3 linked regions of the Rattus norvegicus genome follow. The protein of the gene in region 2 interacts with the protein of the main gene of each other region in a pairwise test. Links are inferred from orthologs where the notes say so. Each region holds a gene or a part of one and is shown on either strand. Other genes may lie near its edges.

Region 1 (5,757 bases), on a different chromosome or scaffold from region 2:
CTCGCTCTCTAAGCACAAACCTAAACAAGCAGAGGATCCACCCTGTTTATTTTCCTTCCCTCAAAAAAGAATTTCCTGTACTCTCTACCGACCAATGTCTGAAAACAACCTAGTCCTTGTTACTCCATCAGAATGACAAAGGGAAATACTAGAAGAAAGCCCTGTTAACAGCCTGAAGTGCTTTATTACTTACGAACATGGAATTATGTTGCTATTTTGGAAACCTTTCTTACTTAAATATCTGATGTAAATCTTTTTATACTTCAGTTAACAGAAACTCATTCTTTTGTACAGCTGTAGGGAACAAGGGCACTACACAACATTTTTAATGATGCTTATTTACTCTGTGTGCATGACAAGTTTTCACGTGGGTACACACAAGCCGCACTGCATGTGTGAGGACAACTTGCAGGTGTCAATTCCCTCCTTCTACCATATGGGCCCTGGGGACTGAACTCAGGTCATTAGCCTTGGGCTAAGCACCTTAACCACTGAGCCATCTCACCAGTCTATCACATTTTAAGCTGATTTGAAGATGGAGATTTACTTCAGTGGAAGAAGATTGGCTTATCTAGCTCTGTGTATGATCACGAGTGTGTGTACATGCACACCCACACACACTCACAAGCTGGGCATGGTACTATACACCTATAATCCCGCATCTGGGAGGCTGAAACAGAAATACTGTGAGTTTGAGGCCACATGGTGTAAATAGTGAGACACGGTCTTTAAAAGACAAAATAAACAATACAAACAACAACAACAACAAAGCCTTACTCTTAGGAAACACTTGAATTCACCTTTAGTTTCTGGCTATTAAAATAAAACAGTTACTGAAGCCAGGTGGTTGTGACACACGCCTTTATTTCCTTGGGAGGCAGAGGCAGGCAGATCTGAGTTCAAGGCCAGCCTGATCTACATAGTAAGTTCTGGGCAAGCCAGGGCTACATAGAGAAATTTTGTCTGGAGGGGAGTGGGGGGGGGGGACACAAACCAAACCAAACCAACAAAAATGTCTACTGAAGATACTTCTATAGATAATATTGGCCAATTGCTTTAATAGTGCTTTAGGCTAAACACTTGAAAACTGAATGGCTATAAGATAGATTATGTCCATTAAAAAATTTGTGTAACATTTACTTGTGGGTGTGTATATATGTTTGTGTCTAAATATGTTTGTGTCTAAATGCACACATGTATGAGAATCAGCTTTCTTTTTTTTTTTTTTTTTTTTTTTGGTTCTTTTTTTCGGAGCTGGGGACCGAACCCAGGGCCTTGCGCTTCCTAGGTAAGCGCTCTACCACTGAGCTAAATCCCCAGCCCCTAGAGAATCAGCTTTCTTATTCCACCATGTGGTCATGGGGAATCAAGCCTTGGTGACAGGCACCCTTACCCACTGAGCCATCAGCCCACTGGCTTAGAACATGTACGTTTAAAGTTTTGGTAATTTGGGGTTGGGGATTTAGCTCAGTGGTAGAGCACTTGCCTAGCAAGCGCAAGGCCCTGGGTTTGGTCCCCAGCTCCGAAAAAAAGAAAAGAAAAAAAAAAGTTTTGGTAATTTTTTTCAAGTTTTTTTCAGAGCTAAAGTTTCTCTGTGTAGTCTTAGCTGTTCAGTGCAGGCTGGCCTCAGACTCAGAGATCTGCCTGCCTTATCGCACCAGGAACATTAGGGTCTTTTACAACATGGCCTCACTTTGTAGTCTAGACTGGTCTCCCAACTTGCAGGGACCCTCTTGCCTTAGTGTCCCATGTGCTGGGATTACAGGTGTGAGTCACCGCAGCCAACTCTGGTAGCTATTGCTTAGCTGTAAAAGCATTAGAGGAATATACTCTAATAGCAAGTTAATGAAAACACTTATTTTGTATGATGTTTTCTTTATTTTTATTTTTATTTTTTTTTTCGGAGCTGGGGACCGAACCCAGGGCCTTGGTTTCCTTTATTTTTATGATATACGTGAACCCCTCCTGAGACAGGCCTCATTATGTAGTCTCAATTTGTAGCAATTCTCCTGCCTCAGCTTCTCACGAGCTAGGATTTACAGATATGAACCACTACATCCAACGTAGCACTTTTATATTTTTAATTGTGGGTACCTGTGCAGAGGTTATGTGCACAGAAATGTAGGTGCCTGAGGCAGAAGAGGGCACTGGAGCCTGTGGAGCTGGAGTTACCGGCAGCAGCGAGCCACATGCCTTGAGTGATGGGAACCAAACTCTGTAGGGACAGTATGCCCTCTCGGCTCTGATCCAGCACTCTTAATGAACTCTCAAGTACTGATTTCCCCCACCCCTTTCTAGTACCCAAGAAGAAAGCTGAAAAGAGCTCATCGAAAATGAAGACTCATTTCAACTACTTAAATACCAGAAGCTGGTTTTTGTTTGTTCTTTTAATTATGTATATGTACATGGAAGTTCAGGTGCCCACAGAGTCCAGAAGAGGGGTCAGGTCACCAGGAACTGGAATTACAGGTGGATGTGAGCTGTTGAACTAGGAACCAAATTCAGGTCCTCTTCAAGAACAGTAAATTTTGTTAACCGAGCCTTCTCTCCAGCCCATAGCACCTTTTTTGGGGGGGTGGAGTGGGGATAGGGTCTCAGTGTGTAGGCTTGTCACTAGATATGTAGACCAGGTGGCCTCCAACTCACAGAGATCCACCCTCATCTGGCTCCTGAGTGCTGGGATTAAAGCCATCATGACTGGCACCAGAGATGATGATTCTTTTCTCTTCTTTCTTTCTTGCCATTTTGAGACAGGGTCTCTCTGTGTAACCCTGGTGGTACTGAGAATTCTTAATGGCACCCTTTACAATCAAATTTCCCATGAGACTTAGAAACTTCTCAGAATATAGTCTCACATTAAATAGCCTCCAGTTTTTGAGGTACTAAGTCTGGCCAAGGCATATCATAATCACATTAATATACTTTCTCATTTTAATTCTCTATAAGAAAATGTTAATTATCCTTATTTTTAAAGATAAGCATATAGAGATTTAGAAGTAGTTAAGTAAGCCACATAAGGTGGCTTGTTTAGATGTTTCAGAATTCCTAAGCAAGTTCGATTGACTCCAATGAACACATTCTAAACCACTTTACTATAATGCATATTACAAAATATTCCAGATATATTTTTATCAGATTTCTGTAGACTTAATTCCCTGCTTTTCTAACATCAACATTTTGAAAGAGTGTGATCTCAGGCCTTTGTCTTTCAGATTATCAAAAAAATTGTTTATCTAGTATTCAAATCTAATACAAAGCATCTTGTATTTCATCGGACAATCCTACCAGTAGCAGGGCTTTACGTTCCCTAATTCCAAATAGGCAAAAAAGAAAAAAAAAAAAAAAGTCCAACGGAAGCGCTGGACATTAAAATGGTGCAGACAGGCTACTGGAGTAGCCAGTGACTGACTCCGGAAAAAGCTACAGTGACAGAAGGTGAGAATCAATCCCCAAAAGTACTCCATACAACATGGTCATCAAAAAGCGTACAAGTCACAAGACCTTAAGAAAAGAAAGAGCTGGAACACACCCCCATAAGAAATGGACGGAAAGAATAGGAAGTGGGCCTAAGAGCTCTCCTACAAAACACAAACGAACCATGACACGAGTAAATCCAAGTCCCAGGACCCACTAAGCAGTGCAGACTGCAGAGACTCCACTAACCCTAACCCGCCTCCCCTCGGTTATTCCTCTGGGCTCTTCCAGTAGGCCCAATTCGGTCAACGGGTCCTCCCATTCTCTCTTCCTTGGTGACAGCACCTCCCCTACCATCCAACCTCCGTAGTTCCCCTCTTCTTCTTCACTACCTTTCACCCGCGCGCTTTTGGTCTCGAATTTGGTTAGCATCCTTCAGGCCTTCGGCTCCCAGGTCAGATTAGCGGATCCCGCCGCTCCCGGTTGCACTCCCAAAGGCTCCACGTCAGCTACCCCAGGTCGCGGCTCCCGGAAGCTCCTCAGACACGAACTTCCGGTTTGGGGAGCGCTGGGCCACAGAGACGATGCCAGCGGAAGCCTAGAGAGACCGCTAAGAGACTGGAAGGGACCCGAGGCTTCCGCCCAGCGGAGAGGCAAGATGGCTACGGCTAGGGGCGGCTCTGGGCCTGACCCAGGAAGTCGGGGTCTCCTTCTTCTGTCTTTTTCCGTGGTACTAGCAGGTGAGGTCACCCCACCCGGACCTCTGATCTTTAAGAGGAACCGTGCGGAACAGCTCGTCGCAAGTGCAAGCGTTGCCCTTCTGGTTCCGATTTCCCCTCTGTCCCCAGCCCTGTAAATCCTTCTTGTCTTTCGTTCCCATGACATAAGTTCCTCCTTTACCTGAACCTTCATTTCTTCTCTCCGGAGGCATGTCGTTTCGCTTAGTTCTCCCCAGCCCTTTTCTGGGTTTCCAACCTGCTTCTCTTCAACCTTATTCGCATGCCTTGTATGCCTTGTTTTATTTAAAGCCCAGCCACCCCAACAGCAATTAAAAGGGACAGGTGTGAAAAGCTCATCCTCTTTCCTTTGGTTTAGTGTTTTTTTAGATCAAAACAGTCTTGTTTTGTGGTCTCCGTGCAACGTTGCAAAATAAGAGCTCTCATTTCCTCCTGTTGGTTCTAGCTTAAAGTTGTGTTCCTTATTCTCTTTACTTATTAAAGTGAGGCTAACGTTAGCTTCGCTGCTCTAAACTGTTAAGAGGAAAGTAATGATTCAAGGAATTTAAGACGTTTAATGTATATGAATATTTTCGTTTTTTCTAATCTAATGTCTATTTAAGTGATCTTGCAATTGTGAATTACAATCAGTAACACACCTGTAATTATTTATAATGCGTTCAACTAAGAGTTAAGAAAAGCTATACTTTTTTGGAAATGTATGGCTTACCAGTTAAGCCCTGAAATGCAACCATTTCCTTGTATAACCATGACTCTATATTTCTCTACACTCATATTGCTTTTGACTAGCTTCAAGGGAGAAACTGTAGCTGCCCCATACTCTAGGTGTGCTCCCAAATGGTCTGATGTTTCATTAACTGAACAGGTGTGTGGCATAAGGTTTCTTCCCCCCAGGTCTGTTCAGATTCTGAGGTGGTTTTTATTGTTGTTAATGCTTTTCTTTGTTTGGTTTTGGTAATCAATATTCTTAAACCAGAGCTCTTTTCATAACTAATTAGTAATGTATCTATACAAATTAGAAAAGCAGATTTGTTTACCCTTGCAACTAGACGCTGGCACATCTGAAGTCAAAGACTTTGGACAATCATCTTTTAGCTTATAGTTAATTGATCACCATGGAGTTCAATAACTTTCTAAGATACACAGCTAGGTAGTCTTTACAACTCTTAATGCTCCAATAATGTGGTCAAGTAGTAAGAAGAATGATCATAACTCTCGTGTTAGACAGTGCGGTAGTGAACAATTTACCTAAACATGAATCAAGCTGATGATGGTAGAGGTTAATACAAATATCTTTCACTTTTGCCTAACACATTTTATCTTCCGGTCAGGATTGTGTGGGGGAAACTCAGTGGAGAGGAAGATCTACATTCCCTTAAATAAAACAGCTCCTTGTGTCCGCCTGCTCAATGCCACTCATCAGATTGGCTGCCAGTGTAAGTTGAACTTGGGATTTGTGTTTGTGGCCATTAATAATTCAGTTTGTATCCTGGATACTCAGAAGTACTCATGTCCTGCTCAGGAGTCCTGGTGTTCAAATTAGAGTAGATGTCTAGGAGGTGTTTATCATCCGTCCAACCAGGCAAGATAATAAGAGGCGGAATTT
Region 2 (5,209 bases):
TTGCTGTGTGTGATTTCTCCTTCCCTCTTGCTATAACCCTATGAGTAGACTAACACATTCTTATCTCTTAGTCTATCCAAACCATACATTTGCAAAGTGACAGGGCCTGATTTTGAACCAAGTCTGTCAAACTCCAATGCACAGGCCTTTTCAGTTCTTTTCTAGAATACTTGATGTCCTTATCTTTAAATGATAGAGTCGAAAGTCATTAGAATGGTGATGATGATAAAACCCTTTTATTCTTCTGTATTTTAAGTCTAGAATCCTAATCAAGATATGGAAACTGCTAGAAACCGCCCAGTGCCATGCAGGGCCACCACTTGATTTAAATATGCAGTGAGTCATGCCAAGCACACATATAACAGACTCTAACTTACCGTCTTCTGACCCTGTGATGATGATGGGCAGCTCAGGATGGAAGCTTGCGCATGACACATTCTGGGCATGTCCCTCCAGGGTCTGCACACAAGTTTTATTCTGAAATCAAGACACAGAAAGTTACTATGTTCTACTGTTGGGAAACTCATGTTAGAAGCAAAGGGGGAGGGGTGTAAGGAAGCCTTAGAGACACAAAGCATAGCAATGTGGGTAATAACTTGGTTTATGACTGCTCCCATGGTGAAATGTGTACCACGGTTACCTCACAACACTCACTGTTGTGTCTGTTTCACTCAGATACAGAAGTCTGGTAACATGGACACTCAAAGATGCGTGGTTTAATATGACGGTTTTAAACAAACAATAAGCATGCTGGCATCTTATTTTTAAAATCTTAAAATGCATTTGCATTCTTTTTTATAAAGGGGAAAATTCTAGGACCACAATTTAGCTGTAAATACTGGGGCCTTAACCTATGACTCTGTGAAGAGTTCCGTCTTAGGTGCTATCGGAAGCAGTGAAGACCTGCCTAGCATACAGCACGGAAGGTTATAGAAACTGTACCTGATAATCCCATATTTTAACGAGCCGGTCATCTGCACCTGAAATGAGGTATGGCTTATCACCACCACTGTAGTAATCAATGCAATTCACGCCTTTTTCATGTCCCTCCAGCGTGAAGTTTGGTGATGAAGAGCCCAGCTGCCACACCTTCAGAGAACAGAGGCATCTGCCAGTCAGCACTTTCAGAGGCAGTTCCCCCGCTTTCAACACAAGACATCAAACACCACAGCCCAAGACACAGTGTTCCAGGATATTTGCTCTGGTCTCATGATAATTTTTAGAAAGCAGAATCACTTCTCCATGGAGATTATAGATATAGTTCAGTTGTTGACCCTGTTATGTTTTTCTCAACTTGACATAAGTACTTATCTGGGAAGAGGGGATTCAACTGAGAAAATGCCTCCATCAGACTGGCCTGTAGTAAGCCTTTGGAGGCATGATGGTGCCACCCAAGAAAGCAGGCTGAGCAAATCATGAGGAGCGAGCCAATGAACGGTGTTCTTCCATAGCTCTGCTCATTTTACCTCCAGGTTCCTGCCTTGAGTTCCTCCCCAACTTCCTTGGATGATGGCTGGTCAGTGTTTTAGCACAGCAACAGAAAGAAAACTAAGAAAACTGTATACAGGTGAAGCGCAGGAATCAATGAACAAATTAACACTTTGAAAACCTCTACTTTAAATTAGGTCCTGATTGGATGGGAGCTTAGTGCTGAGTAGCATGTGTCAGAATGGAAGAGCTCGCCAGGGAGAGCGAGGCACACGCCTGTGTTCCCAGTGTCTGGGAAGCTGAGAGAATTAAGAATGTGAAGCCAGTGTAGGGTGGATACACAGTAAATTCTAGGCCACCTTAGCATACACTGTAGACCCTGACTCAAAAAATCAGATAAACTTAATTTAGTGAAGAAGTTAAAACTGATCTCAGTTTCCCATCTATGTCAAAAGCAGGGGCAATTCAACAAATGATAACAAAGTCAAGTTAAAAACCTGAAGCTCTTAAAACACAAAATAGCTTATATGAGTTAAATTACTAAAAATATTATATACATGTAAGCAAATGTGTAAGCAAAAGTAATGTGATTTGAAATTTATTTTAGGTCAATGTACTGAGAGGATGGAGAAAATCTGACTGTACTCACGGCAACAAATAGTCAGTATCCAGTAGAGCCAAAGTACTGTGCTACTCTCCCAGAACACCTTGGGGCTGTGCAAGGGGAGACACAGCTCCTATCCCAAATATCCAGGATATCACAGGGATAAATGATTTTAAATTACATGAATTATCACTCAATGTGAAGACTGTTAATAGAAACAAAATCTAAAGGGAATGACATACACTCTGTCTACAGCCATTAGTCGCTAGACTGGAGCGCTAGACTGGACTTTCTCAGAATGACTATCTGTGCTAACCCTTAGAGAGCTATGAAGATGCTCAGAGAAAAATAAATTCAAATCCGAGAATGCAAAGACCTGCAGTCAGAGGGAGAGCTGATGAAGCACTGCTCTGTGAACACTCAGAGCATTGCTAGAGGACAGCGAGTAGGTCAGTCATATTGGTGTCTGTATCAGCAGCCCAGGCTAGCCCTAACCATCCTGTATTTCACTCTTAGACATCTGTAGTTTATTCTCCAACAGGAAATAAACAAAACAGACCCTGAAGACAAGCAGTCCACAGCAAGAGGCAGAAAGAGGGGATGGCAACAGAAAGAACTTAAATATAAAACAGACCAGTGATGAGGAGACAAGAATGACTAAAGGACACACACACACACACACACACACACACACACTCTCTCTCTCTCTCTCTCTCACACACACACACACACACACACACTCTCTCTCTCTCTCACACACACACACACACACACACACACACACACACACACACACACACACGTGTCCTAGAAACGTGGCAGTGCTTCTAACTGTAGATCCTAGAGTGGAAACCAATGTTCTACTGCGTTGCTTCTGCCTGGCACAGGAGCACAGGGGCTTTCTGGCCAGCCAGAGTAACGCACCAACGTAGTGGACACCTACCTTGATGGTCCTGTCGAGAGAGGCACTGGCAAACTGATTGTTATCTTTGGGGTTTATCACAATCTGCATAACATAATGCGTGTGTCCTTCAAACACTTGTGAACAAGACCATTTTTTGTCCCAGTCCCAGAGCTTAATAAGCATGTCATCTATACCAAAAGAGAGCCAAGTCAGTTGTGGATTGTTTTCATCTCTGTAATAAGACAGTTTCAGTGAGTTTTAAGGTAACACATGTAGCATAGTTCACAGTCCCAGTACCTATGCCATAGAACTAATACTGGGAAAGTCCTTCAAGTCCTTACCTGACCTCAGAGCATACTGACTACAGAACAGTGCGGACAAAGTGCATATAGACAGCTACTAAAGACATACAAAAAACACGACAACTTCTTAAATTTAATTAAACAAACAAACAAAAAAACCCCAGTGGTTACCGGCTAAGTCTGGCTAAAAAAGCTGACTGTGGAAAGAGGCAGAATTTGCCTGATGAGATAAACTGCTTTTACAGAAGTTCTCACTTGTTAAATTTATAAATATTTCAAAGACTACTACCAACTCAGGGATACCCAGGTAACAGCCCTCCTGCGGGTCGCTTTACACTAATACCAGGGAGCGAGCTAGCTAGTCTGCATATGCAGATAAACCAACAGAGCCTGTGGCAATCTGCCAACAGCCTGCTCATCAGCATTCTAATGCGCTTTCTGCTCCCCAGATACAGATGCTTCTAGACCTTCGAATTTTCCATCAGGAATTAGAGCAATTGCAATATAATCCTATTAAAATACTAAAATACACAGGTGGGCAGCACCAACAGCACAGTAATGGATTCAAATTGTTTAACAGAAGCTTGGAGTGAGAGCTCCATTTGCCACTGCAGTTAAAGCACAACATGTCTCGGGAAGCAAATCATTACTCAGTGCACAGGACTGAGGCAGGTTGTCTCTTACCACTGCTTGTGAGAATGAACGGCTGGGTGGGATGAACAGCAATGCAACGGATGTAATCCGAGTGTGCTTCAAACATGTGCACCCTCTCCAGGGTGTTATAATTGAACACTCTAATCTGCATATCATCCTAGGAATGGAGATTTTAAAGCATCACTATATGAGATAAACTGTATACACAACTAAACTGTATTACAAGCTCAAGGTATAGCCTCCTACCATCAGAATACTACGTTTAATTAACTTAATGAACCAGGCATTACAACTCTGTAACTAGTATCTATGACCACTGGCCAATGAGAGGGTAGGATCTGATACTCAGAGCTACTTACTGCTCCTGTCACCACCCAGTTCTTCCTTGCGACAAACTTCGCAGCTCGAACAGGGAGATCACACACTTCAAAGGTCTTCACCAGCGTCTTGAAATGTTAATAAGAATAGACACATTAAGTTATGAAGAAGTAACTAAAGAGTCTTATTCTGCTAGGATTAAAGCATCAGTCTGTGAAGTATTTCTAGTCAAACAAATGTAATGATAGCTCAACATTGGGGGAGGGGGGCAATCAACTTCTCTTCAGCAGATTTGAAAATCAGAAACTTTGAAGAGATGGTCAGAAGGCGGATGGCACTCCAGACCCTGTGTCCTGGTCTGCCCCTCCTTTCCAGCGTTGCCTTTCGCGCCTGTCTGGAAACCTACCCAGGAAACCATTTGCTCCCTTCTGGCACCACTGCCAAGCACTAGGCTAGACTCCATGCTCACTCTTCCCCACCACACTGTCCAAGCAGGACCATTGTACAGCCCACACCTACAACAGCTCGTGACTCAGCCGCTGTGCAGTTTACTCCACTCTCTGTTGAGAGAATTGTCTCTTAGCTTAGGTTCCTTTTTTAAAAAATTGAGCCCATAAACCAGGCATAGTGGCTGGCATGAGCCTTTAATCCCAGCACCTGAAGGCAGAGGCAGGTAGATCGCTGAGAGTTCAAGGCCAGCCTGCTCTACACAGTGAGCTTTATGATAGTTAGGGCTGTATAGCGAGACCTTGTTTCAGAGAAAAAAAATATTGAACCCATAGAAATGACTCAACAAGATGTTTTGGGTTTTTTTGGGTTGTTTTTTATTTTGTTTTGGTTTGTTTTTTCTTTGGTTTTTGTTGTTATTGTTATTGTTCTTTTTTGTTGTTGTTGTTGCTTTTACATCTTAGCAACACATTTCCAGAAAAAAATGCTGAGAGTTTGTGTTTAGTTGTTGTAATAATAAGCATAAAAACTACGAGGTTTAGATGTTTTTTG
Region 3 (5,299 bases), on a different chromosome or scaffold from region 2:
GAAGCAGTGTGTGAGTCCATGAAGGGATTTGGTCAGTCCTCAAAGGGTTGTAAGGGATTGGAATGTTCGGAAAGGCTTCACAGTGCATGTTGAGTTGGATTTTAAACAGTCAGTAAGTAATCCACAGAGGATTACGAGTACAAGCAGAGCAAATGCACGTAGAACGATGTGCTGAGCACTTAGAGTGCAAAGTGAGTTAGGAAGTCAGGGAAGCTGACCCCGCTTGCCCTGCGAAACAGGAAGACACTGGAGGGTGACAAATGAGATGTGTGATTAACTGTTTCTGTGATAGCAGTACAAATGGTAACTCTGTAGAAGATACTGGAAGATTGCCTGAGTAGGCTATTGCAGAAACCAAGTGAGAGGGGAGAGCCCTAAACTGACAGAGCAGTGCTTAGAGTAGAAAGGAGGGAGGAGGTAGTGTGCTTTAGGGATATGTCTTTAGGTACAGAACTGTTAACTAAAGGAAGACAGTTTTGGTAATCCTGTCTTCCCTGAAAGTAAAAAGAGAACTTAGATCCCTATCAGAGTATAACTTCAAATTTAGGCTTTTTTGTTTTCGGGGTTTTTTTTGGGAGGAGGCGGTGCTGGCTGGCTGGTTGGTTGGTTGGTTGGTTGGTTAGTTGGTTGATTGGTTGATTTTCTTGAGACACGGTTTCTCTGTGTATCCCTGGCTGTCCTGAAACTCATTTTGTAGACCAGGCTGGCCTCGAACTTGGAGATCAGTTTGCCTCTGCCTCCCAAATGTTGGGATTAAAGGTGTATACCACCACCTAACTTTGCTTTTGTTGAGACAGAGTAACCCAGACTAGACTCAAATAAAGTAATAAATACTTCTGCTTCAGTTCCAGCTTCTGGGATTATAGGCATGTATCATCACAACCATCCCAGATTATGTCTTTCTAGGGAAGAGACAGTCTTAGATAATCTTATATTACTAAATTTCACCAACATATAACCAAATATTAGGAGGAAAAGGTTTGGATTTATAACTAGGTCCCAACTATGAGAATACTGAACTATTTGTATGTCTAGTGTAGTACCTGGCCCATTATAGCTGAGATATATATATATATATATATATATATATATATATATATATATATATAAACAACAAGAGACAAAGTGTACCTGAGCCTAAGGTCTAACTCCTAAGTCCTATCGCTTACCAGTTCTGTAACCTGAGGAAACTTATTTGACTTACCTGCTTTCCTAATTTGTGAGATGGAAAATAGTAAGGTAGGATTGATGGCGCTATTCAGTTGGTAATATTTATAAAGCACTTAGAATCTAGTATATATAAATATTTGCTAATGTCATAAATATTTGTTATTTTGAACTAGCATCTACCCTTTTGATCGGGACTCTTTATGTTTATTACAGTTTATGATGTCTCTGGAGCAGCAAGTGACAGAAACTGTGTGGTCCTCAGTGACATCCACATTGACATCATGGACTATATCCAGCCTGCAACTTGCACTGATGCTGAGTTCCGTCAGATGTGGGCCGAATTTGAATGGGAAAATAAAGTTAGTCGTTGAGAGGTTTCCTATGCAGTTCTTCCTTATGACTAGTGATGAGGGTTTTTTTAAAGTCATTCCCCCCAAAAAGCATAAGAAGTGAGAAGCAAACAGTTCTTCATTATGTGTTCCTGTGTATTATCTTAACGAGAAACCATGCAAGTACTTTGGTAATTCCGTGTGGTGAATGGCAGTTCTTTTTGGAATCTTGTGATGGTATCTTGCTCTCTAGCCTAGTCAAGTCTCCAGTGCCCAACCTTCTTGCCCATGTCATCTTGGCACAGACACTAGAGTGTGCATCACCACACCTAGCAAGTCATAACTCTGTAACTACTTTGGTTGAGACCGTGTAGACAAGATCCCTCCTGTGCTGTGTCGGGATGATAATCTACCATTGGCTCTCGTATCCTCAAGGCTGTGCGAAGTCTGTGGCCCAGTGGGAAACTTTGCCCCCTAAGTTTTCTGTGAACTCTGTGTCTCTTTGACGGTCTAGGGAGGTATCTGTCTGGAAGCCCTGCCATGCCAGCTGCTTTCGTAGCAGTCATTACTTTTTTATTGCCCTTCTTCCCTCCATAGTTGGCAGAAAGCTGTAGGATGAAATGGCTGTGACGCACAGTTTACTGAGTCCTCTCCTCTGCAGGTGACAGTTAACACCAACGTGACTGACCTGAATGATTATTTACAGCACATCCTCAAGTCCACCAACATGAAGTGCCTGACTCCAGAGAAGGTAGGAGGAGGCTAGAAGAGGTGAAATTCTATAAAAAGTCTATAAAAAAAAGTTTCTGTTAATGCCATAATGTGCATCTTCCTAATAAGAAAATGTCAGCTGTCATCTGGGGTGTGTAGCTCAGTGACAGAATGTTTGTTTAGCAGCACGCACGCACGCACGCACGTACACATACATGGGGGTGGGGCCGGGGGCGGGGGTGGGGTGTGGGTTTACTGCCAAATTAGTAGATTTTGTAGATTAGTTTCTTCAACAGTTTTTAAGTCCAACAAAAGAAGCCTTTCTTTATGGAAGTTAAAAGCCTGATACAGGAGACAAATAAGTAAATCAGAACAGAATATGTAAATATAAATTTGAATAAGTACTCTTAAAACTATAGAATGCACAGGGAATTCTTAAATTTTTATACATATATTTATTTTGAGTTTTGGCAAACTTATTAGCTCCTATACCAAGCACCACGTAAGTAAAGTTTTAAGTAATAGTTTGCATGTATATTGAGTTTGCCAAGGTATTATAGTTCTCTAGCCAAGTACTGGATCTATCACACATTTCTTCCCAGGCCCTTTCTGGCTACTGTGGCTTCATGGCAGCCAACCTATATGCTCGCTCTATATTTGGAGAGGATGCACTTGCAAATGTCAGCATTGAGAAGCCAGTTCACCAGGGACCAGATGCTGCTGTTACTGGCCATATAAGAATTCGTGCAAAAAGTCAGGTAATAACATCCTTTTTTGAGAACATCTCTGCACCAAATAGAGGAAGAATTCATATATGTCTTATTTCTGTGATAAATTTCTTCTGTCATAATTATGTTTTGTGCCTGAGATAAATATATACATACATACATATGCATGGTATTTTCTGAGGTTTAATTCATTTAAAATGGCTTATCTACCATATTGCCTAAAACATCGATTCCTGAGTGATGTTTGTTTTTCTTTTTTCTTTTTTTTTTTTTTTTTAAGATTTATTTAACGTACAGCATTCTGCCTGCATATGTGACTGCAGGTCAGAAGAGGGCACCAGATCTCATTACAGACGGTTGTGAGCCACCATGTGGTTGCTGGGATTTGAACTCAGGACCTCTGGAAGAGCAGTCAGTGCTCTTAACCACTGAGCCATCTCTCCAGCCCTCTGAGTGATGTTTGTGAAACAGATTCTATAGAGTTGTTTAACAGATAAGGCATCAGTCTAACACAAACCAACATCACTAAAATCAACCAGTAAACGTTTTTGGAGTCTGTCTTTATATCCTTTGTTTTGTTGTTGAATGTGACGTCGTCATCCAATGGAGGCGTAGTTAGGCTGTGCAGCCTGTTTGGGCATTGTTTCAGTAATCACTGTTGTTGACTCTGGGAATGTAACTCAGTCTTGGGAATACTCTCCTAGCATGTGTAGACCATGAGTTAATCCCAACATCACAAAACCAGATAAAAATATAAACATCTTCATTCTTCTTTGCAGGGAATGGCCTTGAGCCTTGGAGATAAAATCAACCTGTCTCAAAAGAAGACTAGTCTCTAAGAATGAACAAACGGTCCTCGAAAGTGTAAGGTTAAAATTTAGGTGTGGGCTGATTGGACTCCGACGTTTTTGTACTCTTTCATGCTTTATGCTTGTAGAATTTGAGTTCATGCTGAATTCATTCCAGCCCGTAATTTATAGCCTTTCCCCTAAATCAAGAATGAGTTTAAAATTATAGTTTGTCTTTTATCTTAACAGTTCTGAATGCTGTCCTCAAAGTATATAAAGTTCCTCATATGTACCAAGACCATTTTCACAATAAACAGATCTGTTCATAAATTTTTGTTATTTTATAAATAAATTACTTAATTTTAGATTTGTATCAGTGGAATTTCTTCTTTTTTTTACCTGGCCTATATTTATGAAGAGAGTTACAAAGTGAGTGACCTAAAATGGAGCGGGTACTGGTTTAGTGCATTATTGTTCCCTCATTTTCTGTAATGACATTAGTGTCTCTAAAACTCTAGGGTCTCAAACTTTGCTTCAAGGAAAAAGTATCCAAATTACCTGAGAAAAGTGTCTTTGGCTTAAAGGAGCTGTAAGACTCTGACTGCCATACTATTCTTGATGATCCTGAATTATTATGGAAATTAGATCATCTAAAATCAGTGTGAAAATTCATGCACATTCAGCATTGGGTGTTTGTGCTTGTTAGTAATTACAGTGGCTCTAGCCAGTGACAGACTGCACTGGGAGGATTAGCTTTGGGGGATTCAGCAGCTGTTCCGTTTCCAAATGGCCTCTGTTTTTCACTCCTTCCCTACTGTTCATAACTTCACTGGGCTAAGCAACACACACCCCTCATTATGACTCCACTTGTTTGTGAGTGCAGTGTCCCAGGCCCTGCCATTCTTTGGGCTCTGTACTAGGAATGATTGAGATAGACTGAGTTTTGCCAAATCTCAGCTTAAGCTATTACTTTGTCTTTCCTCCAGGGCTTCATCCTTCATTCCCCACAAGTCCATAGATAAGAGCTGAGGCAGAATGGAAATGACATCCTGTGTTGTCAGTGAGAACAGAATGATTTGTTGGGCCTGTAAGAAGATTAATACTTTGTATGATATCATAAATTTTGAAACCACTTACTGTTTTAGTCAGCAAACCAGAGAATTACAGGACATTTGCAGTCTTAGAGCACTGAGATCTTTAAACGCAGTCATAGCTGCCAACTAGGAGAGATACAAGGACTGTGGGAAAGGAGTCATTTTGATACAGAGTCAAAGGGTGGAGATAACTTGATGGGAGTTGAGGAATGATTGCATTAGATCAGTTCCCACACTGTTCTTTTGAACATGGGTTTCATTAAGCGACATTGGACATTCTGAAAGAAAAAGGGTCCACAGCTAGTAATTTAAGGAATGCTACATATAGTCCTTACTAAAGAGTCATAGTACACATTAGCATGCTAAAATTTCTGAGAGACCCTTCAGTGAGGAAAGTGGAATTTTTTTTTTTTTCTATTCTTTTTTTTGGAGCTGGGGACCGAACCCAGGGCCTTGCGCTTGCTAGGCAAGCGCTCTAC

What was found.
Region 1: the proteins of Copb2 (region 2) and Copa interact in a two-hybrid assay, tested with the Homo sapiens proteins (2 studies listed by BioGRID, with this or other methods). The link is inferred for Rattus norvegicus from reciprocal best matches to the Homo sapiens genes COPB2 and COPA.
Region 3: the proteins of Copb2 (region 2) and Copb1 interact in a two-hybrid assay, tested with the Homo sapiens proteins (2 studies listed by BioGRID, with this or other methods). The link is inferred for Rattus norvegicus from reciprocal best matches to the Homo sapiens genes COPB2 and COPB1.

The regions. Positions count from the first base shown.
Region 1 is NC_086031.1:87,077,063-87,082,819, reverse strand, and holds the start of Copa (coatomer subunit alpha), read right to left. Parts: upstream 3,953-5,757; 5' UTR 3,847-3,952; coding exon 3,807-3,846; intron 1-3,806. Other genes in the region: Ncstn (nicastrin precursor), read left to right, coding at 4,073-4,154, 5,483-5,587. UniProt on the Homo sapiens protein: The coatomer is a cytosolic protein complex that binds to dilysine motifs and reversibly associates with Golgi non-clathrin-coated vesicles, which further mediate biosynthetic protein transport from the ER, via the Golgi up to the trans Golgi network.
Region 2 is NC_086026.1:108,046,370-108,051,578, reverse strand, and holds part of Copb2 (coatomer subunit beta'), read right to left. Parts: intron 4,339-5,209; coding exon 4,252-4,338; intron 4,050-4,251; coding exon 3,923-4,049; intron 3,125-3,922; coding exon 2,976-3,124; intron 1,090-2,975; coding exon 943-1,089; intron 478-942; coding exon 378-477; intron 1-377. UniProt on the Homo sapiens protein: The coatomer is a cytosolic protein complex that binds to dilysine motifs and reversibly associates with Golgi non-clathrin-coated vesicles, which further mediate biosynthetic protein transport from the ER, via the Golgi up to the trans Golgi network.
Region 3 is NC_086019.1:177,837,543-177,842,841, reverse strand, and holds the end of Copb1 (coatomer subunit beta), read left to right. Parts: intron 1-1,383; coding exon 1,384-1,529; intron 1,530-2,160; coding exon 2,161-2,250; intron 2,251-2,812; coding exon 2,813-2,968; intron 2,969-3,717; coding exon 3,718-3,777; 3' UTR 3,778-4,091; downstream 4,092-5,299. UniProt on the Homo sapiens protein: The coatomer is a cytosolic protein complex that binds to dilysine motifs and reversibly associates with Golgi non-clathrin-coated vesicles, which further mediate biosynthetic protein transport from the ER, via the Golgi up to the trans Golgi network.